Rhinolophus ferrumequinum: one gene and its partner. The protein of the gene in region 1 interacts with the protein of each later gene in a biochemical or structural test. Links are inferred from orthologs where the notes say so. Each region holds a gene or a part of one and is shown on either strand. Other genes may lie near its edges.

Region 1 (15,161 bases):
ATAAATGAAAACTGGCTTTGTTGAACATTCGTTCAGTAAAATAAAAATAAAAATGGAAAAAATTAGTAATGATTTAGTCAGGCTATATTTAAAAATTATTCAGGGAATTAAATTGGCATACAAGAATTTTTTCCTGTGAAATCTGTCCTCAAGGAAAACTCATAAATGTTGTTATATTCTAACTAAATGCTTATTTTCATAAAAGTTGAGTCAAAACATCCTTGAGGTCAAAGTCAGGGGGCCAGTGCGTTCCGTAGGCCACAGGAAGCCATTGAAGGAGGGACAGGCAAAGGCGAGTTTTACCTTTTACAGAGATTATCCAGAGGGGTGGGTAAGACGCGGTACAGAGTGAAGGCAGGCAAGATTTGAGACTGTTGTTACAATCGGATGTGATTAGAATCCTAGCAGAGTTGGGAAAGGGGATGGATTTACAAACTATTTAAAAAGGCTCCAGACTATCCTGAAAATCCCTAAAACAGGGTACAAAGTTAAAAGAACGCGAGTATCTCTAAGGGTGTATTCTCTGCGACTCTCATCCTCAGAGTCCTTCCGAGGGCCAGGCGTCACTTGCAATCACGTCCAAAGGGAGAGAGCTCTGTGCTCTGAGCTCATGAGGTCAAATAAAGCTAAAATAAAATTATAGCTTTGCAGAGTCTCATGATTTTCAAAGCATTTTCACAAATACGATCACTTTGAACGCCTGCGACACTTCATACATGAGGAAAGTGTATCTCAGGGGTGGAAACGGTTTTGGGTCCAGATCATACAATTCGTGGAATTAGATTTTTAAAATAGTTTTCTCTCCAAATGCCATGGTATCCTCCAACTCGGAATGTCTCCTGACTCATTTCCCACAATGCTTAATACTCCTTTTATCAGTAAACAAATAACTGGAGGGGGGGGGTTGTTTTTGTTTTTACTTTAAGGGGAGATATTTAAAATACAGCAAACACACCTATTGCCATGCTGTCTTCCCTTTGATGTTATCTCTTAACATCAGTGTTACTTATATAGGTTTCTTTAATCTATTTTCATGGCAATCGGGTTTGAATACGTTTTTTGTTTTATTTACAATACAGATGATTTCTCCTTGTTTATCAGTCATTTTTGTCTTATCAGCTTTTATTTCCTAATAAGATGATCCTGACCTGACTTGCACTGAGCTCTTGGATTCTGACCTGACTTGCACAGATCACTTTTTTGGAGGTTTGATGATTTTCTTCCTGTTGCTCTCATTTTGGTTGGGGGTAATTTTTAAAATATATGTGCAGCAATCGATTTTACTTGAATATCATTGCATGGAGTTACCACTTTATCACCCATGCAATTTATATATATAGGAGAAACTGAAGTTTTAGTAAGGTAGCTTTTTCACTTTAGAGACTTGTGTCTTATTTTTAGCAAGAAAAATATGCGTAATCTTTAAAAATTGTATCGCTAAGCATCACGGGAGATGTTTGAGTTGGGGTCTTCAGTAAAGAATCTAAGAAGAACATTGATAATATTGCTTATTACTTTTTCAGAAGTGAATCAATACTATGAATGGACATAGAAGATGCTTATGTATTTCACTAACATTGACTTTATGTATATTTACGCTTGTCCTGGCTGAAGGAGTAGAAAAGTTTTTGCTTTTTTTTTTCTTGTATTTGTTGTGGTTACTGAACACAACAATACTCCGCTAAAAATAGTCTTTCCCCAGACTGAAATGGAAGTAGCACACTGACATATAAACAGGAATGCTTACTAAAAATTTTAGGTGATAATTAGATATTTTCTACTGTAAATACTGGTTAGAACCATGTACACTAAATCTAAGTTACCATAATTTTTATTTCTGCATATTTCAGTATTATGTAGAAAGAGATAGCAATCACAGATATTGCTGAATGAACAGCCTGCAACATTTCATTTTCTCCCTTCCTCCTTCCCTAAACAGCACTATGTTTATGTATGCGCTAGTCCTTTGTTAACAGGCAACTAGTATGGGCGTCGATTACTAATGAAGTTATTTAGACTAGAGTGAAATGAAGCTTAAACAGAGATTCAGTTCGATTTCCATTTCAATTTTCTCCTGTGTAAATAGGCCTATAACATACAAGATGGCTGCAAAAGATCAGAGATCTGGAGCGACGCCAGAAGTCTCCCTCTGCACCAAGACGACGTACATACACGTGGTCTGCCCTCCAAACCTTGCCTACATGAACTCTGGGCTTCCACCAATGAAGTTAGTCTACCTGAGTGCAAATTGCTACTCTTGGTCCAGTCAGATGGAAATTCATTATCCCTTTATGGAGTAGGAAACGATGCCCGGACTCTCTACAAACTTCTCTGTGCACCAAGCAACATGCAGCATGTTTCGTCTTCCCTTTGGCCCTGGAGCCAGCCCCCTGGCACGAGCATCAGTGCCCAGGCAGGTACCTGCGAGGCTGGACCTGAATTTGTCTTGTCCCGCTGCTCGCAGCATACCTCCCTCCCCATTCCTCACTGTTCTTCCTACTGGCATCCGTGTCAGAAGAACAAAACTGACCCACCAGATGAAGGGTCATTAGCGTGACTATCCAAAGAGTAGGTGAAGGAAAACCTTGTTTAGGAACGGCATTGTTGAACTATGGATTTTTAAGGTGTCAGAGAATCTTTCCGGCTGAGAAGTAAAATGGGGAGAAGGAAAAAATAGAAAAAAAAGACAAGCCTATAAAGATCCACATCCAAAATTATTTTGATAAAATGGTCCTACTGCCTCCATCCTCCCTCTTTGCCTCTGACTCATTTTTTCTGCCTCTGTCTCATGTTTTCTCCCTCCTTCTGGCCTCCCTTTCTGAAATTTTTCTTGTCCGTCTCCTCCTTTTCCTCCATTATTATAATGTGCAGTTTTGTTAAAAAAACAAACAAACAAACAACAAGCAAATCCCTTACTTTTCAGTGCCTGGTAAGAAAATCAGGTACAGATGATACCAAAAAAAGCATAAGACATAATTTCTGCTGTCATGTAAGTTACAACAGTAAGAAATAATAAAAATACCACCAACAACAACCACCAATGGAAACAACATGTGAAAAACCCCAAGGAAAGGGTGGTAAAAGTGTACAATTTCAGTGGCAAAATTTTGTGGCAAGAGTGATAGAAGAGAATATTTGACAGGAAACAGGATTTGCCACAGAGCCTCAGTGGGCAGCCGTGAGGAAGTGTAAAGGGGGTGTTGAAACTGCCGCCTGCATTGTCTGTTTTAATCAGTCACAGAAGAGAAAGAAAAAAGATGCCTGCCCAGCTCTCAGCTGGTCAGTGGACTGTTGCTCGGGCAAGGAGTTCAGAATGCACAGCAAAAAGCAGTGAGGAGACATCAGTTATTTCCCCCCTTTTATCTTACAGTTTCAAGCTGCAGAGTGTGGAAAGACATGGATAAGACCTCAGACAGACGAAGAACCTATTCCCAATACCCCAGGTGGAAATGATAAGGCATGAATTCAGGAGATGAGGAAAGCAGAAAATGATTTTATAGATGATTAGAAAGCAAAGTTATAGGACTTGGGGAGCCTTTAACATATACATATATATATATTTCAGAATATATGTATATATTTTGCAAACAAAAAATGAGATTAAGCTTAGAAAAGAAGGCAGGGTGTCCCACTTGTGAGGGATGAATCAGGAGATGGAAAATTGAGCTCATCAACACGGAGGACGGAATGAGAAGAAGCTCTGAGAGTAGGAAACATGAAGGCAACTGGCCGAGAATGGAAGCCTGTAGACCCCCAATATTTAAATGTAGACAAATGTGGAGAACGCTAGACAGATGGTAGATGTGTGTGTGTGAGTTATAGAACTCCCTAAAAAATATGCTCATTTATTTACATATAAGTATGTATTTATAATACACACATACATATACAGTTATATATGTGTATATTAGGAATACATATGTTGTGTGTACTATATAACTAGTGTATATAAAACACTAGTATGTATGTGCGATGCCTATGTACATGAACAGAGTAGAAATCCCTATGAGTATATCCCACACTATTCATTACTGGTGAGAGAATGTCACGTGACCCAGAACATGGCCAAGACCCGGCTCAAGCCAACCAACTTGCCCCTGTGCCTCCTGACATAGAAAGACCCGTGACCCCACCTTACCTTTCCTCTAATAAAATGCATTCTAAATTCCCGTAATGAGAAGGGTCTCAGGCAGGTTTGTATTGGGAAATACTTTTTTTTAAAAAAATCAATAAATAATCATACTGACAAATCTCTACATTACAGAGTATTTAGAACATAATAGGATTGCTTATGAAGTTCAATTCATAATTTGTTTTGAACACCTGTGATGTGCAAGGCACACTCCATGTTGCAACCTGGGGTATTTCCTTTCATGTCGATGGCAAAATGAAGAATTAGGTGCAGGAAATGAATCTTAACTGTTATGACTCATAACTCACGTTCTCCAAGCTGTGATGGAGGGATAAAGGTGCCTGAAACCTTTTTTAGACCAGTGAACATTCATCTCTATCTGCATTCTTGAAACCATCATCATCCCCTAGAGTTAGTTAGAGGTTTTAAACAAAGTTTTTTGGTTTCCAGCTTTCATAGCAAAAGAGCACAGAGCACGGAGATTACCAGTTTTTGTGTAAAACTCACCCCAACATTGTTGCCCTGACAGAGCTGAACTTTCTTGTATTTGGAGATGAAGTAACATGTATGAATCGTGTACATATTTATCCACTGATGTCTCTATGCATTTGGCCCTATTCTTTATGTCTTCAGAGTATACCATATAGATTTCATACCCAAAAGTCTAATATTTCCTACAAACATTAAATTTGACACATTAAAATAAAATATATAATCCAACTCATTGGTTGCTAATGAAGAAAAATATATAATTTAAAGCATTAATTAAAAAATAAAGCCTACTAACTTCCCCAATGATACACTGAATCACAAAATGTCTCTCAGAACTTAAATGCATGATAACAAGATTTGCAGACACAGATGATTACATCTATTTTTCCCCCCAAAAGTAAGTATGTATTATATTTCAGGAAGATTATCAATGCATTGAGAAAATTGTTTGCTCTTGATTCTTGAGTGAGCAATTGAATTTAAACTTGCTCTTTCCAAATAAATCTATGTATCTCCATTTATTTACAGTATAAGCAAAATTGATTTCAAGAGTTTTAGATCATTTTATACTCTCAACTTGATTACAAATTCAAGATGTTTCTTACAGTAAAAAATAGTTAATACACTGAGTTGAAATTTTTACGGTGGTTTGCTCTATGGGCAACAAATTTTCTTATTCCTTGATGCTCTTTCAGAAATGTGTTGCAACAGTTCCTGGGTGGGAATTTTTAACGGAAATTTACTCCAATGTATAAAACACATATGATCACCCTATTAAAATTGTCATCCTTTATAATTGGTTTTTGGTTACGATAAGCACCTTACAGGGATGGTAACTTGCTAAACATTTTGTGTTCTGAGACAATATGGTGTACCTATATAAATGGCTTTAATCGATCTTTGTAGTTAAGACACACACACACACACACACACTACCTCACACTGCTTTGCACACTCCGTGCTTACACTGACCGTGTACCACACTCAGGAGGTACCTATACCCTGGCGTTCAGAGGAAAGGAGAGCTGTGGACAGTCAGCGAGAAACATTTCTCTGTCAATTCCGACAAGCAAAGCTTTTAAAACCAATTTTCTCCTTTTTTTTTTCCAACTGACTTGGAATTCCTACCAAAATACCATTTCAGTATCCTTCCAATAAAAAAAACAGCGTTTTCATGCTACATCATAAGCAGAAACTGAATATCAACTTATTAGCTACATTTAATCATCAACCGAAATGTACTCATGACCCGAACTAAAACTGTTCCAAAAAAAATACCCATTAAACAGACCCAACAAAGATCTCCAACTTAAATAGGTACCGAGAGTCCAATTAGTATTTTCCTACAGAATACAGCATTTACATGATTGCTGGGTTTACATATTTTTATCTCATCGAGGTTCTGACATGTACCCATCACCAGGAAGGGCGGTGGCTTTGTAAGAATTTCCAAAGCAAATAAGCATTAAAACTGTTAGTAAGGAACCAAAAACTTGATTTCCAACACATTCTGTGATGAGAATACACACAAAGTTACTATTTTATGAAGTAGCCAAGTATATTGTTTGAAACTCCATAGCTAAGTACTCAATAAAATAGTTCACCAGTAATCAAAATTTGAGGAAGCAATCTTCTGGCCGGAAACAGGGAGTGGTTTACATGCAACCAAAGCCATATTGTGACTTTAAAAAAATTCATGTTTTCTTAAAAGGATAAATATTCACTTATTTTGTTATTAAAATTTCCTTGGACTAAGTTTACCTCTCGTGTACTTGGAAGGCTTAAGTAACAATGTGGCTTTGCTAATACCCTTGAACAGTCGGTAAACAAAGATACAGATAGACAAGGCTTTCCTTGTGAATTGTGATTCCCCCCCCAACACTTATCTTAACAGATACAATGTATTCTTAAACAGAAACAATGTATTCTGTGGCATAGCGAGCCACCTCTGTCTCAACTACAATGCCTTGAGCAGGTCGCAGCCACTTCATCACTTCCAGTCACCAACCCTTCACGTATTTTTTTGTCTATTTCAAACCGATGGCACTCCACAAGGAAAACAAAAGCGAGGAAAGGATGATATCCTTGGTCTTACCTTCACCAGACACTCCTATGTCCAGAAGGGCACAGCCAAATACGAGAAGTCTCAGCCACACAGGCATGGTCATATCTGCAAATCAGCCGTATTCCTATGACACAGCATGCGTCCTTCTGAAAAGGCAAAATAATGGTTATCTCTGAAAAGTTTTTCTCTGTAAAACCGAATCAAAAACAAAAGAAATGAATGCGTACTCTTCACTGTCGTCTTGTCAGACGGGGAGCAATTTCCTCCTCTGTCACCCTAAGAACAAACCACTTGCTAGCGACACAAGCTGCTAGGCAGTGATGTCAGATTCGGTTTTACTAACTTCTCCAAAGTTAGCAAAGGGTCCTCTTTACAGGAAGTCAAGAAAGTTGTTTAAACTAAGTGCAAAGGCATCTTACTTCCTTACTTCAAGCAACTAGACTTAGTAGGCCTTTTACAAGACTTTTTCCTTCAAGGAAGATGTTTTCTGAGTATCTAATTAATGCTCCCTTAGAGTACTCATTACAAAAAACAAACAAACAAAAAACATATCCTCCCTAAGTAATCATTTTCTTAGCTAAAAGGTGAAAACACAAATTTAGCACAGGCATACCAAAATGGGGGTTGGCAAGATAGCCACTAGTAGGAAATACCTGTGTATGATTTAAAATGACCAAATGAAGGAATAAATAACAGCCGATCTGGTTATTTTTGGCAACTGGGACCATTTGCCGTGGGGCAGTCAAACCCATTTCCTATGCAAAAGCCCTCTCAGAGAGTTTAGCAGGTTGGCCCCAAATCTTTCACTGATATCCTTGTGGGGCCAGGGAAGAAATCAGAACGGCACTCCACTACAGCAAATCCTGCTTCAAGAAAATCAGTGCTTCTGTGACTTGAGACAGTCTGAGTGCAGCTCGTGAGGGGAAGAATTGCCGTAAAATTCAAGAACTGTCTTTTACAAAAGTTGACCTTTTTTTCCCCCCTCTCAGCCAGTTCCCAACCTTCTTAATTAAAAGATACATTAACATACTACAACGCTTTTCGTGATCCTGATGAGGGCCTTAGCACATCTCTAAATTAGAAAAATGTCTACTGGCAAGAAGCCACTACAGATTCAGCAGTACAATGAAATAAATTGATATCATTATCACAACATCTGGTTTATTTAAAAACATCGTGCACACACATACCAGGCACGATTGTGCGAACTATAGGGAATGCCTAGGGGTGGTCTACACAGACAGAGCCCTTGCCAGAACTCTCCAATCCCCAATTAGGAAGCACTGCTAGGGTCCTTGTATTGACGTACATACATCTTTTGATATTTATAAACTTCTTTGTTTTACTCTTACTTTGGCTGCTAGGAGCTACAGGGCCAAATTTGCACACACATACCCTTTGTACAAACAGAAGTAGCCCATCGCTCAAATTCTGGATAATAACACAATAATAAGATTTTTGTTGTGATTGCGATTTTATCATGACGGTTATGATCATAGCTAACTCACGGGGCTGTCATCACCTCCAGGACGATACGTCGCCCTTTACTTGTGTAATCTAACTTGTACAACAGCTTGTGAGAGACCCCATGTTTTTATCCCTCTTTTATCCGGGAAGTTCAGAGAGCTTAGGGGATGGGTCCAAGCTCTCACATCTAGCCAGGACACAGTCTGTGTTTTGAACCCTCTCCAAGTTTCATCTCACTTTCCTTCCTTTCCTTACCAACCTTCTTCATTTTTCCCCCTTTCCCCAATCTTTCTTACTAAGGATTTTTATCATTTTCAATCTCTAAAAGATAGAATAGTGATTCCATAAAAATGATGTGCTTCTCTTTTTGCAAACATATTTTTAAGTAAAATAGCCGCAAACGTAAGCTCCACTTTTCAGTAGGTAGGCCTATTGAGATATATGGCAGTGGTCCCGAATTTAAGACCAGTGGACCTTTGAACACCAGGATCGGGGCACCAACACCCCACACAGTCAAACATCCAAGTATAACTTTGACACCGACCCCCGCCAAAAAATAACTTATCTACCGTCATCCCTAGATATCCACAAGGGATTGGTTCCAGGCTCCCCATGGATGCTCAAGACCCCCCTATAAAATGACAGAACAATGCACACTCAGCTGTCAGCATCACGGATTCTCAACCCAGATGGAAAATACTGTTTTCCTCCTGTGGTTGGTTGAAGCCACAGATTCAAAACCCAGGATACAGAGGGCTGACTTTGTAGTCATTGAAAAAATTGCATATAAGTGGACCCTCACAGTTCAAACCTGTCTTGTTCCAGGATCAGCTTCAACTCCACAGCCAATTCTTACAATCCATTGCCGTGGAGAACTATTTGGGGGTTGCGATTGACTATCCTTAAGCAAACGCTTGTGTTCTGTTGTGTTATTATTACGGCAGCCTACAGAGGAAAACACATGACAATCCAGTACAAGGGAGTGAAGGATATAAGACATACACTGTCCATAACAAGCCAAACACGGGTTTAGAAGCCTGAAAGAGACATTTTTAAAGACCTTTCAGAAATAGCAAGAATGTCAGAGATTTAGTCCCAAGGTGGATAGAGATTCAACCCAACACATACTAAGATGAACTAGCACCAAACGAGGAGAATGATATTTTATTTTCATGTGTTCAAACGGAGTTCAGGGTCTACAGGAAATAAGAGACTGTGCGTGGCACACTTTATACTGAGGACACTAAAGATAAAAAGAAATAGAGCACCGTGCAGAGAGAAGTCAGTAAGTAAATCTGCATAATTCAGGTGCTGGCAGAGCAGACACAATGGTGAGCCAGAGGTCTGATATGCCTGAGACCCAAGCGGGTGGGGAGGGCGGTGCTAAGAAGAAGGCCCCCGCAGCTTGCCGGGGGACAGGGCATCACTCGCCTTTCACTAACCTGGACACCTAGATGGGGTGGCTAGCGGCTGGCCTTTCCAAGGGCATCCAAGGAAATGTCTGCATTATCTCTTACAGGCCAAGCATCTGAGCCGAGGCAAGCAGCCGCCCACAAAGTCCTGCAGAAATGGAGGGTGTGTGTGACTGTTGGTGGGAGCCACTGTCATTGATTCTGAAAGAGAGAGTGGGCAGGCTGCTGATAAACGGCATTTTTTAAGAACAACTGGGGGTTGGAGGAACGGTAAAAAAGGTGAAGGGATTAAGAAGTGTAAATTGGCAGTTATAGAAACAGTCACGGGACATAAAGGACAGTGCTAGGAATATAGTCATGATATGGTAATAAACTGTGTATGCTGTCCGATGGAGACTAGACTTTCGGGGTGATTGCATCGTGTTACATAAATGTCTAACCCCCACATTGTACATTTCAAACTAATATATTACTGCATGTCAACTGTAATTGAAAAATAAAATTAAAGAAGAACACCTGAGGCTGGGAAAGGACCGGGAAGTAACATCCGAGTTTATATGTAAAAAATAGTGTGTGGTATTTCCTGAGTGGTTAAAACAGTATGTATTGAAAACAATTTCAAAGTTTCACCAATGCAATTTCAAAACAATCATAGCTGATTGATGTCTAATAGATTGTTAAAAGCTGTAATATTAAATGCTAAATGATATTTTACTTAACCACTATTTTCCAGGTTTCGAGTTACATGTAGTAAAGGTTATATAAAGACAGAAACAGATTATACGAGGTTAACTGCAGAAACAGACATTATTCATTCAGTCATTCAACAAATAGTCATCCCCTAATATAAGACAATCATTTTTCCATTCGTGAAGAAAAATGCTGAGCAAAAGCACATGTGCTTCCCTGCTTTCAGTGGAAGGGACGAAAGTAATTAAGTTAATCATGAATTAACTCATGATAATTTCAGCACACAGGAAGTATTTGATGTTATGAAATAAACACACAATAGGATATTTGATGCCGTCGTGAGGTCAGGGGATTTTGCCTGAAATAAAAAGCAATGAAGATAGACCTAAAAAATAATAGAATGTAAGTGGTCGTGGGGAGGAAAACGGTATTCGGGCAGAAAGAATCGTCTATTTACAGGCAGAGCGTGTGCTCCAGGATTAGGAAGAGGCACGTATGGATGGCAGAGAGAAGCAGAACCTGGAAATTGCAGTAGATAAATGCACCAAATCAACATATTATCCACCTTAAACTTACACAATGCTATATGTCAATTGTATCTCAAGTTTTACAAAAAGAAGTGAGACATAAACAAAGCAAAAGATGACATCAGACGGATAATAGCCAAACTCTGCTGGGCCTGTGTGTCCTAAGAGATTTATCTTTATCTTCAGAGAAATGGGGAGCTCTGGAAGTGCTTGAAACATTGTTCTTGAATCTTCTTGCCAATGATAATCTGCATTGCCAGACGTGACACCACCACTTATCTCTGTCCTCACCTCATGTCACTTCTCAGCTGCACAAAATACAGTTAAGTTCTTCTCTAAGCCTTTTCTTTGTCGGTTTCCAAAGCACCATCATCAGCTGATTTCGTGGACCCTCCTGGCTTGTCCTCAGCAGCTGCCATGTTGCGTCTCTTCCTCTGCCGGATTTCTAAGTCATCACACATCAAAGCTCCATCCTGGCCCACTTCTCTCTTTCTGGGGGAGTTCCTTCGTGCTGATGTCCGCAACATATATCTCCCATCAGAGCTACAGTTCAGGTCTCTGGAATCACATTTGCTTATTCAACAGAAGGTGGAAGTCTCGACCCCTCCCTTTTTTAAACTGCCCCAACTCCCAATCTTATCCCAACGTGTAAAGGTACCAGCCTACCAGGAACTTATAGCAGAAACGTTATTTTTTTTTTTGTTTCTCCTTTTCTGCCACAACTACATTCAACTTATCGACATGTCCCCTTCATTCTAGCTCCACCATCTTACTCGTGCTCCATTTCCAATTATATTACTTAGGACCAAGGTACCACCATGGGTGAAACAGCCTTTAAACTGTTTTCCAAGCTTCCATTCTATCTCCCTTCAACATTTTCTCCAGAGCAATCATTTTGATCTCCTCTAAATACAAACCAGGTTGGGATAGGTCTCCAGCACCTCTGAATATTTTTCCACTTTGCACGCTGAATAAAATCTAGCCTCTGTACACATCCCTCCACTTTTTTAATGCCTGTTTCCAGCCACACTGGTCTTTTTGTTCTTTGAAAGGCCAAGCTCGTCCCCACTTCAGGGCCTCTGCCCAGAATGCTCTTCCTACTTCACCCCCACCACCCACTCTTTACATAACTTCCTTTTAGTAGCAGCTTACATGTCGCCTTCTCAGTAACATTTCCCTGACCATCCCGCTTAAAAGAGGCCCCTCTGTGCTAGTTCCTGTCTCAGAATCTCGTCTGTTTTCTGATTTCTGGAGGATGAGCCATGAAGTCCAGGAGTGAGTGCTTGGTACAGTTTGATATTTGTTGAATGAATGAATGAATGAATGAATGAGACTTACACGTGAGGCTGTGGTTGGCCATATATTGGGGTTTCGCAAGAGTAGGAGATGGTCAAATGCTCGGGATGTTTGTGCTCTAGTACAAGGGATGATGGTGGAAGAAATGTTTACCAGTTCAATAAATGACTGAGTTAGTTACCATGAACAATTATAAAATCTGATACATATTCTTATCCGCGAACAAAATATTACAGGAGCACAAAGGAGGGAATACGGCTCCATCTTTATCATTTGATCTAAAAATACATTCCTGCAATTCTGACATTTTATCTTTTGAAAATGTAGGTGTTAAGTGAGGAAATCCATGTTATTTGGTAAAACTGCCCTCTATCTTTGTATAAAATGCAAATCCAGATAAAAATAAGTCTTGTCAACATCAAGCTGCATAAAGGGGAGGGGTGCTGCTCAGACAGCTTTTCCTGCTTGGGGACTCGAACCTTGACTCTTCTAGAGCTTGTCCTCGCATCCCTGTACTTTACTGCCAACGATGTAAAATAGACAATGCTGATATAAATAAGAAAAAGGGATTTTTGCCTAGCGGTCAAGAAAGATGGCTAACTCCTAGTTCCAGCAGTGATTTAATGCTAACATGGAGTTAAAACACTCTCAGTGTTGCTGTAAGAACTAAATAGTTAACAAGCATTCAGGTAATGGTGTAAACACACTAGGTTATAACTAAAAGCATGTACAATAGAACCTACAACCTATTCCTCCTTCTAGCCCCAAGGAAAAAGAGGAGGAGAGACCTGGGAGCGAGGGAGGAGGACCTGAGCACAATCGTTCCTTTCTGCAAACCACACTATTGTAGGAGCACTGGCCTGACAGCTGCTAGAAGGAAGAGAGGAGGTGAATGAGTTAGATTGAACCTGAGACTGGAGAGTTTAACTCAGCTGGAATGATCCTTTTTTTTTTTTTAACCCAAAATAACTTAGAAGTTGTGAGACTTGCCCTATATATAGCCAAGAGATGGAAAAGGGAAATTCAAAATGCTGTTTCTTTTTTTTAAATCACAGCTTAAAAGCACTGTCAGTTGCAAGATGTCTTCTGATTTCAGCAATGTTAAAACATGTTTTATAAAATGTGGGTCTTAGAATCACTGAAATCGCTGACCAGAAGCAGGAGACAAATACAATTATGTAATGTTTGCATATCAATGAGTTCAGATTGCTTAATAGCCAGTTATGAGCATAAAGAACTCTGACACAGGCATTGACTTCTGAGGCCAGTTTCCAAATGGGCCTCCCTGAGAAAGTCTTATAGTTTTTAACAAACTAAGAGAATATTCCACTCTGGCCTAGTCTTCTGTGGACTCCAGAGTTCTTGTTTCCTAAGGCCCTCGCTGAGATGGTGTGGTTTACTGCACGCCTCACATTACTGACTATAAGACATATTTATCATTTGTTGGTTCCTTTGAAGTCTGCAGGATGTTTCTCTCCCTCTCCCTCTCCCTTTCCCTCTCTTTCTCCTTCCTTCCCTCTCTTTCTACACTGGCTCCTGGCAGTGCCTGACTGCTCTTTCTGGTCTAGTGAAGCTGCAAAGCTGGATGCATAAACACAACATGTAGCAAGGTTAGAACAAGAGCTAAACTAGCTTCCAAATCCTATGAGGAAATACAGTGCTGGAACATACGATAGCTTGAAACAGAAGTCACGCCTCTCTGTTACGTCCTCAGCACACGCTCTAATTATGACCTAACGTGTTCTCTCTAAACCATCTCCATTTTCCCTCCAATTCCCTCACTCCCATGACACCTTTGTTACATGGCTTAGTTTACAGTTCTGTTCTGGAACCATGAAAATTTACTACCTCATATATAAAATAATATATCGGCAATCCATGAAAAAACTAAAGTGTCAAGATTGTTTGACAGGTAATAAGGTATCAGAAACACTGTATGTCTCCTATAAAACAAGAAACGTTTTTAAAGGTCATACGCTTTTGGTGCCAACAAAACCCCATGCTTGACAATCATGAGTTCAGACTGCTTAAAGTAATGGATTGGAGGCCTACTTAATTAATTAACTTAGTCTTCATGATAACACCAAGTATTATTATTTTTCAGCAAAATAGAAAATGAAAACCAGAAGGTGATGCACAGTTCACTTTGCCTCAGCTGTCCCTGACGCTGCCTTCACAAATCTGCCAGGGGTCCTTGTCTTCCTGCACCAATATGTTAGCCCCCAGGTGCATTTCTCCATCACTTGTCACATCCTCAAACTCTCCGTCGTCAGTTTAATATGGAAACACTGGCTGGTGGTAGTTTCTTTCTTGGTCGCGCTGCTTCTTTGAAAATGATGTCAAACAGGAGTCTGTGTTTTACATTTTTTCATTCAAAAAAAAAAAAAAGAAAACACATCTAAAAGTCTACCTTTGAATCACGCAGTGGTTTGAATAGCACTGGGGGACAGCAGCGGACGTCAGCCATCAGTAGACAGTGTTATAAACGTTGCAAAATGTGCAGTTTCAAGCTGAAATTTCTGAATCCAGCTTGAAATCAGTCCACATAAATAATGGGTGATCAAAAGCAAAACTCCTTTCAGGCAGCTAAGAGCAAATCTCAAAATTTCAAAGAATATAGGCAGGCAGATGTTCCAAGGTTATAATGCAGAGTCACAAAGTAAACAGTGTGACTACGACTAGCAGTAGGAAGTACATTCAGCGCCTACTATGTGCCAAGCACCGTCTGTCTAAGCATTGACATGAATTTTCTCATTCAATCACAGCACCAGAGTGAGGTTGGTACTCTTATGTCATCCTTTTATGGATGGACAAGCAGGCCTAGATTAGTGAGGAAACTTGCCCTACTACATTTATACTCTGAGACAGAACTTAAATTTGAACGCAATCCAACCCCCAAATTTCACCATGAAGGAGATTTCATTTACAAACAATTTGAACTCTATGGAACTCAGATGGCAGCAGAAATGAAGCGAGTAACATTTTCAATCAAATCTACCCTCCTATCTCAGAAATAATGAACAATGCAAACACTGTATAAAAAGCATTATTTTTTTCAGGGGGTTAACACCTGATCTCTG
Region 2 (15,011 bases), on another chromosome or scaffold:
CCCCAGCCTGTCCCTAATGCCCCTTCATCCCAGTCCTGCCTCCCACCTGGAGGCCCAGGACCATTCCACCCAGACCCTGCACCAGCAGCTCCTGCCTGGATGGAAACATCTCCCCCAGCTCACAGCCCCTTCATGCCAATCAAACCCAGGACCTGGGGCCTGGGGCCTCTGGAACTGTTGTCTGAGAGCCCCCTCGTGGGGCAGGAGAGAGAGCCCAGGGTCTCGGCCGATCAAATCACCACTGTGCAAGTCACCACTGTGCAAGTCACCACTGTGGGCCTCCAGTGCCATACAGGTAAGATCTAAAAACTACTGTTTTCCTTGAAGGATAATGATCAAATGAGATCAAGTGTACAAACACCCAGCACACAGTAGGTATTCAACAGAGTGTGCCTTCCTCATCCTCACCTTGCTCTTGTTAGTCAGGAAACCTCAGGGGTGTCAGCAATGCTGAGGCTAGGACAGGTGCCCAGAGGGCCAGCGTGGTGGTGGCCTTGGGATGGGAGGGCAGCCCCAGGTGGAGAACCCTGGGGAATCCTGGCAGCCAGCTGGTGGTCTGGCTGTCCCCTACTAGCACCCCATCTGGAAAAGCCCTTCCAGAGCCATACAGGGGCCACTGGGGTTTCTAGAAAGGCTGCTTTCTGCTTCTCTGTGAAGGAATGACCAACCCACCCATGCTATCCGGAAGTGGCCATATCACTGCCCTTTCCAGTTACCCTTGTTTCCCTATCCTCATCTCCCCCGGCCAGCCCTGCCACACTCCCTCTTGGGGAGGGTCAGCTCTGCCTCTGGCCCCAGCTGAGCCCGGGAGAGGGTCCTCTCCAGGCTCCTGGCAGCCAGCCTCTTCCAGAACACACATATGCCTGCTCTTCCGGCGTGGCCCTGGGGATGCGGGTCAGAGCCTTGTGACTTTGCTCTTCCTCCAGCCCATCGTTTTCCCTTCCTCGTGGGATCTGCGCTCTGGCCACCAGGAGGCGCTGTTCCCCCTCAGACTTGATGAGACCACAAGTCAGAACCATCAGAGACCAAACTACAAAAATTACTTTCACTAAAAATCGTATGTATTTACTTAGTAAGAGTAATAAAACTTCACTTAAAAATAATAAAGTAAAAGAGGGCAGAAGCCAAGTCATCACGGGGAGTGCAAAGGGAAGACAATGGCCTTTGTCTAATCGCTGCTATGAATCTGGCACTACCCACGCAGGACCTTACCTCATCCTCCCACCGCCTCAGTAGGGGTGGGGTCAGGGGGCACAGGGCAGGGTTCTAAGTCACGAACAACAGAAACCGACCTCTGGCTAACATAAGCAAAAAATAAACGTACTGCTCACAAAAGCAGAAGAAAAGGGCTCCAGGAAGCCGGCAACAGGAGACAGCTAAGATGGGGCCTCCAGTGCGGTTTGAACAGGATGCTGCCCCTGGCCTCTCGGCTCTCAGCTGCCGCTGAAAATTATCTCCAAGGGACCCTAGTGCTTGTGGTACTGCTTCCCTCTGTCACATAACCTCACCCTAACTGACCTGAAATCTCATGCTGCTTCTGCATCACAAGCTCAGGGAACCAAGCGGCTCCTCCCAAGCTTTGGTCCTGTCACCCCAACCTCAATCTTTATTCATTCAGCCAGTGCTAGGTCCCTGTTGACACCAAGCACCTAGACCGAGGCTCCCACACTTCAGCAGGCCAGCTTTCCCTCTGCGGCTGCTACTCACTGCTGCCTGCCTGTGGTAGAGGTGGGGGGGTGGGGGGTGGCAGAGGACTGGCTGCTGTACTAGAGGCTGAGGAATTAGAACTGCATGGCCCCAGGGGTGGTGGGGAGTCTTGGGGAGAGAACAGACCACCTCTCTAACCAGAACTGGCCCTGACTGGAGGAAGAAGCGACCTACACCTCTAGGGGGCTCCCTCTGTCAGGAGAGTGCCTCTGGAGACCCAGATGATAAGGGTAGCGGTTCAGGAAGATGGGCTGGGGGCACTGACAACAAGGCAGCAGGCAAGGACCTTCTTCTTGGACGGGGAGCCATGAGACCTGTGGCAGGAGTGACAGTGGAGACCCCAGGGAGAATTCAGTCACTCACTTATTCACTCAATACATATTTACTGCCACAGGCTCAGTGCCAGGCCGTGGAAGGACAGAGAAAAAGGAGCCAGTCCCTGTCCTCAGAGAGCACCCAGACACACGCTGCTTAGAATTAAACTCGGAGGGGCTGTACAACCAAAGGGAAGGGACATATCCTGCCTGGTCCCTGGAGCCCACTGAAAAAGGGCACTCCAGGCCCCATACCTGACGCACAGGTGGCTTCTGGAGCTCCTTTTGGCTCAGGAAGGGTCCCCTTCCTATCCAGCCCTACCCCACTCTCAACCAAGGGAAGGGACTTTTGAAAGCGGCCCTGATCGGACAGGGACAGATGTTAGCACCAGGCTTATTCACAGGATAACACCTGGACAACAGGATTTGCATGTGATTTGCAAAAGCTTGGCCTGACGCACAAGCCCGGCAACCTCTGGTTCCTGCTCCTGGTGCTCTGTCACCTCACCCTAGGCCAAGTTTCCAACCTTTGCACAACGGAGAACGCCAGGACCCTTTTCTTGCTTTCCCCTAAACAGTTCCCACGAAGAAGCCAGAACAGGACCGACTGGGGCTCCCAATCCGCAAAGCAGAGCCTGGGGACTTCTGGGTGGAGGTTGGTCCAGCTCAGAGCTGAGAGCTGGCAGGTGAAGGTCTCTGGGCAGCTCTGACGGGAAAGCCCTAAACTGTAAGAGGTTTTGCAAGCCCAGGACTCCAGGGGAGAGCCAAGGAAGCTTCTGGACCTGCCCAACCCCAGTGGCCCCTGGTCCCTGGGAAGTAGTCAACACGCCCTCAGTATTGGGTGAATGGATGATGGAGGGCTTCAATTCATCAGCCATTGTGAAACTGTCAGCTCAGGAACAGACAAAAGCCTCAGGGAGCTGGACTTGAATTCATAGAGGACAGCAGGGGAGAACCAGGACTACACAGCCTGCTTCAGGAGTCAGAGAAAAAATATTCATCTAACTGCCGGTGAGTGAAAGGTGCCTTGAGCCAAAGCACTGTGCCTGCAATTCATACTTCATCTCATCTTAGCATCATAAGTACCCTGTGAGGTTGGCCTCTCACTCCCATTTTAGAGATGATTAAACTGAGGCTCAGGAAGGTTAAGTGCCTTTTGCTTAAGGTCACACAGCTGGGCAGGCGTGAGTCCAAGACTCTAACCCAGAAGCTATTAGGATAAATTGGGTGAGAATGATGCGAGGGCATCCTGGGTCCTTCCTTTCCTTCCTAGGATCCGATGGCTGAGTTCCCAGGGATTCCCTCTTCAGTTTCCTTAGCGGCAGAATGAAATGATACTTACCTCACAAATATATTGCAAAGATTAAATGGCAATTAAGACATGTAAAGTGTTTAGGATAGTGTCTGGCACGTGATAAGCCTGGTATTAGTTAATGTTACCTGTTATTATTATTATTACTATTACTACTATTACTAACTGAAATTCATGGGTGGCCAGATGGCTCAGTTGACTGGAGCACATGCTCTTGACAGCGCGGTTGCCGGTTCAATTCCCACATGAGCCAGTGAACTGCGCCCTTCACAACTAGATTGAAAACAAAGACTTGAGCTTGGAGCTGAGCCAACGGTGGGCGACCAGTTGGCTCAGTGTTTAGAGCACGGTACTCATAACATCAGGGTCACCGGTTCGATTCCCACATGGGCCAGTGAGCTGCGCCCTCCACAACTAGATTGAAGGTGGTGACTTGACTTGGAGCTGAGCTGTGCTCCCCACTAGGTTGAGAAAAACAAAAACAAAAAACAACAGCAGCTTGACATCCTGGAGAAATGCACTGTTCCCCAATATTCCCCATTAAAAAACAAAAGAAAGGAAGAAATTCACTCATTCATTCAACCAACATCTGAGAAGCGGGTTCCAGCGGGTTCCAGCCTCCAACTACAGATCCGGAAACCCGCACCCAGGGGAAAGTCAGTGCTACAATGCTGAGAAGTGGGCCATGAGGGGAACAGGAGAGAGAAGGGGGTAGCCTAGCCTTGAGATTTGGGAAGTGTCACTGCAGCTTCCTGGAAGACAAAAAGCCAGTCAATTCTCCACCCAGAAGCAGGAAGGATCTTTTAAAAATGCAAATGTACAGTCGAGGCTGTGGTAAGCCCTCTAATAGCAGGGTCCCTCTGCCCTGAGGAGGGGATCCAAAGACTCCGTGGTCCACAGGTGGCCCTGCAGGCTCTGGCCACTCGGCCTCTGCTCCCTCGTGCCCTGCACCTCACCCCATCCTGGCCTCTTTCCCCTTCTCCCAAAGCTCAACCCCTTCCAGCTCCAGAGCCTCTGCTCCCATTGTCCCCTCGGCCTGCCTCGCAGACATCTCTTCTCCTGCAGGGTCTGAGCTCTTGGGAGGCGGCTCCAGTGTCCTGTACGCACATCACAGCTGCACATCCCTCCTGGGAACTCATCGCCTTGGTGACCATCTGTACTCCCCCCAGACAGAACATTGACCAAGACAGGAACTAAGCAGGAGGAAAGAAATATGTGCCATGAGGGAAGCACCAAGAAAGGTTGCAGGGATCCCAGGTACCTTGACCAATTCATGTTGTGGACCTGCCTCTGGATCTGCCCACTCTGGGGAGATTGCAAATCAGGGAGCCCAGGACCCTTGCCCTTCGGAGCAGAGGACCAGCTAGTTAACGCCCATGGTGTGGTTGGGGAGGCCCTATGTGCATGCTGCCTCGGGCCACAGAAGTGGGGTCCTCCAGCTCCCAATGGCCTCTCAGTTGGGTCACCACCTCTAAAGCCCCGAAGCCACCAACCCACCACCACCAAGACTTCTGCCACCATCATATGGGAAACAGAGACTAACTTTCCTAGGAAATACCCTTGGAGCAAATTGGTGCAACAAAGAGAACAGACTTTCATTTGACATTAAAAAAAAAAAATGCTTGTGCCTAGTAAGTACTCGGTAAATATTAGCTATCATCATCAGTAATAATAATAAAGTACCTGGCACATAGTAGGTGCTCATTAAATGGTAGTTCCCTGGTCCCAGGGGGACAGAAGTTGGAGACAGTTGGCAGCCACCATCCCTACGGAGTCAGAGCTGCAGGAGAACACTAAATGCAACCCTTTGGTGCACAGATGGGGAAACTAAGGCGTGAACAGGGAGGACTTGCCCAAAGGCAGAAGCGATTTCGGTCCCTCGAACTTCGGTCTCTTATGCCAACGCACTGTCCTCATGATAAACTCAGCCAGCCCAAGGAGAGAGGTTTTCAACGTGTGATGCCCCTAGATTCAGATGGGCAATGCTTACTCCCAAGGAGAGCTTTGTGCGTTTGGGAGCTCAGGCTCCTTGAGGAGAATGCAGGCTGAGGCTTTGCTTTGCCTCTGCAGGAGGCGAGCACAGCTTCTTGACTTAGTGCAGCTCATGGAAGCCTGTTCTCCTGCGGATCAGGAAGGGAGAGAGGTCACATGGGAGGCCCACCTGGCCCCCTGTCGATTCCACAGCTGCTGAGCCTTTAGCAGGTGTAGATATCAGCTTGGTCATCCAGCCAAGCAGCCCCTGGTGTTCAGAGAGCAGGGGCCCCTCTGGGCACTTGCTGTCTCCTGGCTTCTGGCCTTCCTTAGGGACCTCAGCTCTAGCACTGGTCTGGTCTCCCTGACCACCTTCCTTAAGCCCCCCTTCGCACTTCTTCACCCCTTGACCCATCCCCACAGGTCAGTGAGACCCTGCAGCAGGGAAGCGGCATTCACACTGGGCCTGAGTGACCTCAAACTCATGCCCTTCCTGCTTGGTCTCCCTGCCCCCCAGATATCCCCAGTGCTGTGTCCTGTCAGTGCCAACACCAGCCCTCTTTCCCAGTGACGGCTCCTTCCACCTTCCAGTCTTTTTCTGGAGGAGGCTCATTCCCCAAAGGCCTGGCAGAGTTCCGGGGTGTGACGGTGATGACAGGGCCAAAGAACAGCTCCCAAAGCAGGAGGGCCAGCCATGCAGGGCACCCCAGGTGTTGTCAGCAAGGGAAGCTGCTCACATCAGCTCAGCCTGGGCACCTGCTCTGCAGGAAGTCGAGGGGACTTTGCTGGAAATCTGCCTTTAATCTTGGCTTCCTGTTTTCTGCCCTGGGGGACGCCCAGACGGGACTGAGTTTCAAACTATTTCACACCAGCTTCTCTAAACTGTCATCTCAAAGCAAAGAGGCTGGGGGAGGGGAGGAGCTAGGGTGGCTGAGAAGAGGCCCTTCCCTTCCCAGGAGACCCTGAGAGCAGAGTGCAGCCCACCCATGAAGGTGTTTAAGCTCCGGACCTCTGGCCATCAATGACCAACCTAACTTTGCATCGAGCTAGCCCAGTTGGATCTTATCAAAATGCAGCCCAAAGTTCTGAGCTCCATTCCCTACATCCGGGGTCTCCAGCATCTCCTCTTTTCTCCTTTCCGTCACGCCAGGGACAGGTAGCCCAGCCTGGGAAAGCTAGTGCTTGTGCCTACCTGGCTGGGACGGGGCTCCTCATCAATTCCTCCCAAATCCTAATGATTTGGAGGAATCATTATTCCTGCTCTAATGATTTCCTTTCCTAAAGTCCATTGCATGGGGAAGCTTTGGAGGTCCTCAGACCTGAAGCCCAGGCCTGGGAGTGGACTCGGAGAAAGTTTTTTCCTGTTCTGAGCCTTGGTGTGTAAAAGGTGGCTCCAAATCCTGGCCTGACATCTCCATGTCTCACAGGTGTCTTCAACTCAGTTTGTCCAAAATCCAGCTCCTGAGCGTTACTCCCAGCCTGCCCCTCCCCCAGGCCCTCCCACCTCAGGAAACAGTACCAGTTTCCTCGATTGCTCCAGCCACACCTGAGGACCAGGCCTGCTTTCTCCTGTGGCCTCACTCCCCACAAACAGCCCTTCATCAAGAGCTGTCACATGGCTCTCCTTTGTCCATCAGAGCTCACTCCTGTCACCACTGGCAGGACCATGCAAAGCATCGTCCTGGTCTCCTGTCCTTCACTCAATCATGTCACTCCTCTGCTTAAAATCCTTCAACAGCTCCCCATTGCTCATGTAACAAAACCCAAACTCATGTAACAAAAGCCTTGGTCCACAGTGCCCTCCAGGACCTGGCCCCTTCCTCACACTGCTCTCCCCCGCTTGCTGATCTTGTCCCTCAAGCTGCTGAGCCACCTGTACCTGACTCCTGGTCTGCTGTCCTCCATCAGGCACTCATCACCTTCATACCACAGTGTCTAATTGCCCTGTTTATTGATTTATCCTCTTGGACAAGACCCCTGCTTACTCTTTGCTCACTCCTTCATCTCCAGCATCCAGAACAATGCCTAGCACTTAGTAGGTGCTCAATAAGTATTTGTTGAATGAGTGAATGAATGAATAAATGAATGAAGAAGGTTGGAAGTTACTTGGCTCTTCCACTAGAGGAGAGTTCTGTGGGGGCAGGGCCCTTTATTGATTTGTCCCCTGTGCCTATGGTTCAGGGAAGTTAAAAAATTTATTTCACTCTGCTGTGAAGAGGTGGAGTCAGGATTCAAATGCAAGTCTGTTTGACTCCAAAGTTCACACTCTGGGCCACATACACCCAGGGAAAATGTCAAATGTACTTGGGGTTAAGGGAAGATGGGTAGGTAACAAAACTGGGCCAGGGATTAGAGCCTTTTCCCCACGTCCCCACAGCCCTTTCCCATTTTGCAAGCTGACTCAGCCAGGGTAGGGGAGATGTCAACTTCTCCCTTCGGAAGGCTTTGCAGAGCTGCTGAAATGCTTCCCTTTAGGCTAAGAGGTGGCCCCATCCGGTCCCACTTTATCATTCCATCTTGACCTCATCGGAAAGAAAGGGAAACCAACTGAGCTAAGCACCCCCTCCGCCCTCCCCCAAAGCCGTTATCTTGCTGAATCTGTACCATCTCTCATAAGAGAGATGTATTTTGAGCTTGATCTTACAGAAGAGGAAACTGAGCTCCGAGACCTTAAGTAACTAACCCAAGGTCACACAGCTAGTAAATGGCCCCGCTGAGATTTAAGATTTGAACCTTAAATTCGTGCTTTTTTCCACCACAGTATCTCTGAAACTTACTGGATAGCTCCTCAAAGGCTAGGGGTGTGACTACCACTCCCCTCCTTAAAGGGCTGGAGCCTTAGTGGCAAGCTGGCCAGGGGTGCATTGGGTCAGAAGGTCACCTGTGGTTTGGGTGAAGGCACACCCAACTCCTGCTCCTGGTATGTAAGGCTCTTCGCAATCTGCTGCCACAGTCTCCCCAGCTCACTCTCCCACAGAGCCCTTTACTGTCCACCTCACTCCCTCAGCCCCTCGCTTATTGTGAATTTCAAGACTTTGTCAGTACACCTCATTTCCCTACCGGAGAACGTCCCTCCTCTGTGCCCACACAATCCTGACTCTTCCTTCACGGCCCAGTCCCTAGGAAACGCCTCCACATGTCCTATCTGCACCGGAGTCTCTGGTCTCTCCCCGTCACCGACCCCACTCTCTAACCCCCCACCCACACCCACTGTCTGCTCCTGTAGCTCAAAGTAGATCTCCTCCCTGCTCCTTGTTAATAATGATATATAACAACACACGAGACTTGACTGAAGGCTGACCATGTGCCAGCCCCTGCTCACTAAGCACTTTAAATGTATTAACTCATTTCCTGTCCTACAAAACCTTAAGAAGTTGGTGCTATTATTTCCCCCATTTTATCAAATGGGGAAACTAAAGCCCAGAGAGGTTATTAACTTTCCCAAAGTCACGTAGCTGTTGACAACATCCCCATTGCCTCCAGGCTGAAAACAAAGTCTAAGAAAGTCCCACAAGGCTCTTTGGATCTCTCTAGTCCCTGGTCTTCCGGGGACGTCATCTCCTCCCACTCTCCTGGACCTACACTGTCATACTGCGCTATTTCCAGGTTCCAGAGCCATCAAGCTCTCTCATCTCTCCCTGCCGCGGTCCATGCTGTTCCCCCTGCCTAGGGTCCCAGCTCCATGAAATCTCCCCATTCGTCTCCCCCTTTTCCGCTTCCTGTGGACCTTGTACACCATTATCAGTTATTTCTTTGAGCTTGTCTGTTGGCCGGTCAGTAGTGCCGAGAACACCTTGACAGTAATGTAGTGGTCCTACTAGTAGACTCCGGAACCGGGCCCGTCTCATCGTCAGCGCCATTAATCGTCTGAGAATAAATGAATGAATGAATGCTTCCTGCTGCGAGTGAGGCCCACTCTTCACAAACAGATTCAAGGAGAAGGGCCCAGGCCCGGCCTCAATCGCTTCTACAGCAGGGGAGCTGCGCCCCGGGAAGGCTGCTGGTGGCTCCAAGGCGGGCTGGTCGGCCCACGGCGCGGGACCTTCGGGAGCCTCCATCGCAGGCCTGCAGGTGGGGGCAGGGCGTGGGCGCGGACACACCCCCCGTAGTGCCCCCGGCGCCCGGCAGGGGGCGCCGCCTCCGCCGGCCCACGCCCCACTGGCCCACGCCCCGCCGCACGCCTGGCAGGCCCCCTCGCGCAGGCGCGCTGCCGCGGGCGGAGGATCCGGGCGGCGCTTCCTCTCGCCAGGCCTGTGAGCTTCCTCCCAGCAGAGCCCCGGGCGAGCTGAGCTTGGCCGCCGCCGCCGAGCCCGCCGCCGCCCTCCCGTTCCCGCCCCACCCCGCACCCTGTCGGGGGTCCTGCCGGGGTGGGGTCCGAGTGGGGCGACCCTCCGGCCTCGCCGCCGTCGGGACCGTCCCGCCAGCCAGCGGTCCCTCCCGCCCCAGCCAGCCTGTGGCCGCCGGAGCCTCCGGGGCGTGGAGCGCGGGGAGCCCCCCGCGTCCTGGGCGGCCCCCGGCAGCCGGCGCGACGTTCCAAAATCAAACCTTGGTGGCGGCGTTCGGAAACGGAACTCTGCCGGGGCCGCGCCGGCTACATTGTTTCCTCCCCGATTCCCTCTCGCCCTCCTTCCCCCGCCTTTCTTCCCTCCCCGACCCTGGCCGCGCGGCTGCCCCCTGCGTCCGTCTGGCCGTCCCTCCTTACCCTCTCTCCGCACTCCTACCTCTTTGTACCGCATCCTCCGGGGACCCCTGCGCCCCTCCCCTCTCCCCTGGCGGCATGGACCGTCCCGCAGGCCGCTAATGCTGCCCAAAGCGAGGTGGCCCGGACCGCAGTGCCCTGAAAGGTGAGTGCGTTTGAGTATTTCCCGAGGGAGGAGGGTGGCGGTCTCACGTCCCGCTTCTGTTACTGCTGTTGCAGCTGCCGTCGCGTCCACTCCCATCCCCCACCTCCCTTACCCCCTCCTTCCCGGTTTCGAATTCTCCCGGGAGTCACTGTCAGCCCGACTGGGAGGGGAGCACAGGAGGGAAGTATTGCCCTATGAGCCCCCACAGACTTCGCTCAGGCCAGCCGAGTCTGTCCCCCTGTTTCCCCCGTGTGGGGTCTGGCTGTAGCCGGGAGGGAAGGGGTCAGCCTGGGCCAGAGCCCTGGAGAATGGGCAGTTTGCCATTCCCTACCCAGGGCCTCCCTGCAGGTTCCCTGGTCTGCCTGGTTATGACCCCTCCCTCGCTTCCCAACAGAGGCCCTGCCTGCTCTAGGAATCCCAGGGCCCAGAGATTGAGCTTGTCACCCTCTGCCTCACAGAAAACCAGGCTTAAGCCAAGGAACCTCTGACCTTTGGGTGGGGAAACTTGGCAGGGCCACTGTCCTGGGTAGAGGTGACACTGGGCATTAGGACCATGCCCCCACCGCCTGGCAGCCTGGTCAGCCCATTCTCCCAGGCTCCTCAGGGCCCAGGCCAGGTGTCAGGAAGGGGCGTGTCCAGCCACCAGATCCTTGGAACTTAACTAGGGGTTCCTTTCCTCTCCCCTCCTAGTAGACCAGGGAACTGAGGCTCAAAGGGGGAAGTTGCTCCCCCAGGCTTCTGGCAGAGCTATGCTGTCTATCCATCCATCCCCCGCTCTACAGAGCTGGACTGCTGTAGGTAGAGGGCAGCCAGGCAGGCACCTTCACTGACCAGGGACACAGGCCCCCATCCTGGCCCAAGGGACCCTGTGGGGTGAGCATGTGCTCCCCTACAGAGGGCTGTAGAGGAGGCAGAGGACTTCCGGCCCCAGCTCTGCCTGCGTATGGGCTCAGGCATCTGCACTGCCCCTGGGGTTACCCCCGGTGCCTGAGGCTGGGTCCCACTGGTGAGGATGTGGGGACACCTGTCTGGTGTGGCCCTGGCACTGAGCTGAGACAGCCTGGTATTCAGTCGTGACCCTGCCCTCCCACACCTTTGGCCCAGATGGCATAGGAACAGCCAAATTCAGAGCGTGAATGGGATCCACATGGGGAAGGTGAGAACCCTGTTTCCACAGGGAACGCCCCACAGCCTTGGCATAGGAGCATTTTCAGGGGATACCCAGGGGCCTGTTCCCAGCTCCCCACACCATGGGGATCTCAGCGTCTTTCTTGATGGGACCCCAGGGTGAAGGCAGCAGGAGGGAGATTGGGAGTGTGGCAGAATCCTCTTGTTCCTGGAAGGGTGGGAGTTTCCCTGGAGGACACCGAGCCATGTCTGGGGCCCTGCTCAGGCTCTGCCCTTGATTAGAAGTTTTTTCCCAAGTCTCCCTGACATGCACAGTGGAGAGGACCCAGATGAGGTCGGCCTGTGAGGCTCCCCTCACCCAGCCCTAACTTCCTTTCCAGCCTGGGGTTGGGGCTGAGGCCTGACATGGTTGAGCTGTACCCGGGTGGCTGGGGTCCCGCGGCCTTTGTAGACCGGGGTCTGGCTGCAGGCTGGCACATGTGCAGGGATGTGTTTTCCTACCTGGCGAGCTAGGTGCCTTCCTCCCTCTCAGAAGTGACTGCTTTTCTTTTTGTTGGATCGGGGGCAAGGAAGGACCAGAAAACAGTCCCCAGCACCACTGCAGGGGACACTGGGCCCCAAGACGGTGAGACACTACAGAGCATACAGGCGGGGGTTGAGGCCCAGGAGCCACGGTTAGCTGCCCCAGCAAGCCGCCAGGTGGCCTGAGTGGGCAGGGCAGCCTGGGCCCAGTTCTGGCCTCCATCTTTTGAGGAATTTCAAAGCCTTGACACATAATCTCCAAAGAGCAGAGGTATTTGGTACGGAAAAGAGAAGGTAGGGAGAGACCCTCACGTGTCTGAGGGGCTTTGCCATGGTAGAAGCTGTCCCAGACACCAGGGCCAGAGCTGGGGGCAGGCGGGGCCCAGGGAAGTGAGTCTGCGCTCATTGCGAGAAAATTATGTATGTATTAGTTTCTTAATTTAGAAAGTAACAAAGCACTACAGGAAATGTAGAAAACAAAACAAAAATCACCCACTGTTTCTTCCCTGGCACAGTGACTAGCATTTTGGAGTTCCCTGCCAGTCTTTCCTGGGTTTTTATTCCTTCGTCGCTATTGTCATTTCAGTGTACATGCCATGACTTTTTTCATTTAATACTGTGTCTGTGGGCATTTTCTCATGCTGCTACATGGTCTGTGTAACTTTGCCTCCGGAAAGGTGTAGAATTTTCCAAATAGCTGCCACAGCAACCCTACCCAGACCCTCTTACTAAGCGTATGCACTGTTGTTTCCTGACTGTTGTTGGGGTGGTGGTTGCTACAGGCCCCCATAGTGACCAGGAGTATCGGAGAGAGCAGGCAACTTGACAACCATCCAACCTGGTTTCCAGGCCCAGCCATGCCACTTAGGCCCGGGAGGAGGGACCTTGGACAGGTCACCGTTTGAGACAGGGTTCCTTTATGTACACACCGGGGACAGTGTCCCTGCTCCAGAGGGAAATGTGCGGGCAGTGTGAACACTCCAAGGTGCTAGAAAGTGCCTGGCACAGCCCCTGGCCGTCACAGGCACTTTGTCGGGGCGGGGGAGGGGGCATTGTTGATGGAGTGCCCACCACAGTCTGTGGAGAAGACGCTGGGCCAGAGGTGGCTGGTGGCTCACCAGCCAAGGGCTGCTCTGTGGCCCGGGGCCCTTTTAAAACCCTCTGGCCCTGAGGCTCTGGACTGCTCTGGCTAGTGCCCGTCCCGCCTTCCTGCCTGCCCCCTTCCTGTCACCCTGTGATTGGCCGGCCCAGATCACGGCCTGGCCCTGAGAAGATGGGTTACTGGTCGGTTTCTGGGACCTGACCCTACCCTTCCTTCTCTTCTCCCGGCATCCGAGCTGAGTGAACAAGGCCTCTGCTCTGAGAGCCCAGCTGCCTCCCGTCCCCCAGCTTTGGCTACTTCCTCGGCAGGCCCCTCATTTCCCCAGTGGACATAGAGGCCTACTTTCCCTGGGAAAACTGAGACTTGGGCAGGGAACCCAGGCATTCTGACCCTCAGCCAGCCTCGTCTCCGCACCCTTTCCCAGGGCCCGGGGCAGGGAGGAAGCTGGGGCAGGCAGGGATTTTAGGGCTCCCCCGGCTGGGAGTTGAAGAGGACCTAGGTGGCCAACAGATCCCTGGGGAAGTCTTGTGTGTCAGCGTCCTCCTCCTTGGAAGGTGTTCCCCATCTAACCTGAGTGTGCATTCCCGTGACATTGCATGCTTTCTCTTGTTCTGCTTATCTGGAGACCAGAGAACTGGGAGTGCCCTCCTGGGACCACCCCCTTGGACGGGAGGAGGAAACCAGTCTCAGCATGGCACCCCTGAGCCTGGGAGACCATCGCCCCAGATGACCCTAGGATGGACCAGGACTACCCCAGGCAGAGGGTCCTCCCCTAGGTGGCCCATTCAGTGCCTGACCTCGGACTCTGGCTGCCAGACCTCTGCCTGTGGAGTACCTCCCTCCTCCCTGGCCTGGTGCAGGGGAAGTGGGTATTACAGCTGCCCTCCTGTCCCACAGCTTGGGCTGGGATGAGGTCACAGGGTGGGGTCCTCTCCAAGATGCTGGCCTGGCTGGGGTGAGCCCTTTGGATGTTTCTCAGTGCCTCCCCTCCTTGGTTGGGGACAGGATGGGTGGAGGAGCAGGCCAGCCCCCCCACACTAGGCAGGGAGCACTACCTCTCTTTCTCCTCTCCTCTGGGTCCCTTCATCCAAGGGCTGGAAATAGAATCTGCTAAGTAATGATTAAAGTCAAATTTAGACCTAAAAATAAAGAGCTGGTAAAGGAAGAGTTAGTGTGCTCCCTGCGTGGCTGAGGGGAGAAGCTAGTAAGGCGGGACTAGCTTCGGGGGGCCAAGCCCCTTCTTCCCAGGAGAGGCCAAAGCCCACTGGGGTATTGGGAGTGCTTCACCAATTGTGGGGTCTCTTAGCGAGCAAGATGCAGCCTGCACCAATCGGGCAGGTTGGCTGGACCAGGGAGAGAATCCTACTTTTCGCATGGGGAAACTGAGGCCCAGAAGGACGAAGTGGTCTATCCAGTGACTGTCTGAGAGCTCTCTTTGGTAGGCCCCCAGGGACCTGAGGGCCCCATGCCGCCCATCTCACCCTTTCTGCCTGCTCAGTTTCTCTTCCTGGTTTTGAGGTACTGTGATGAGAGCAGCTTCTCATCACACACTCTCTGTGTACGCCTCGGTGGGGCTGGGCCTCCAACCGCAGCTTCCCTCCGCCTCCCCCGCCCCCACCCCTTCCGTGGTCTGGGCCCAAGTTGCAGGAGCAAGTAGGAGAGAGGCTGCTGGGTGCTCCCCTCTGCCTGTCCTGCTCTCTGCACAGGTGGAAGCTTTGTGGGTGGGTGAGAACCTGGTGTCATCTGACGCCTGCCCACCCTGGCTGCTGCTTCTCAGCCCTGCCCAGCACCTGGTCCTCACCCAGACCCGGGCATCTGTGGCCTGTGTTGTCCACGCTGCAGTGAGACTGGAGGGGAGAATGAAGAAGGAACCCTGTGAGCTCCCAGTAGGGAGCTGGCTAGTAGGGGAGATCAGACTCAGGAGTCAGTTAGGGCAGGCCTTTGGTTCCCACTTCCTGGCAGGGCTGGTGGGAGCGCAGATCGCAGAAGCTGGGGATCTGCGTAGGCTGGAGCAGCCAAGAGGGCTTCCTGGAGGGGAAGGGCCATGAAAATCAAGAAGCATTTGCAGAAGAAGCAGGGTGCAGGCAGAGGTCGTTGCTTGAAGCTTCTCC

The links.
Region 2: of the proteins of PTPRC (region 1) and CSK, one has a biochemical effect on the other in vitro, tested with the Homo sapiens proteins (2 studies listed by IntAct). The link is inferred for Rhinolophus ferrumequinum from reciprocal best matches to the Homo sapiens genes PTPRC and CSK.

The regions. Positions count from the first base shown.
Region 1 is NC_046310.1:2,392,398-2,407,558, forward strand, and holds the start of PTPRC (receptor-type tyrosine-protein phosphatase C), read right to left. Parts: upstream 7,039-15,161; 5' UTR 6,917-7,038; intron 6,836-6,916; 5' UTR 6,793-6,835; coding exon 6,720-6,792; intron 1-6,719. UniProt on the Homo sapiens protein: Protein tyrosine-protein phosphatase required for T-cell activation through the antigen receptor. Acts as a positive regulator of T-cell coactivation upon binding to DPP4.
Region 2 is NC_046289.1:99,355,782-99,370,792, forward strand, and holds the start of CSK (tyrosine-protein kinase CSK), read left to right. Parts: upstream 1-9,120; 5' UTR 9,121-9,375; intron 9,376-9,590; exon of another isoform or gene 9,591-10,148; intron 10,149-11,280; exon of another isoform or gene 11,281-11,304; intron 11,305-15,011. UniProt on the Homo sapiens protein: Non-receptor tyrosine-protein kinase that plays an important role in the regulation of cell growth, differentiation, migration and immune response.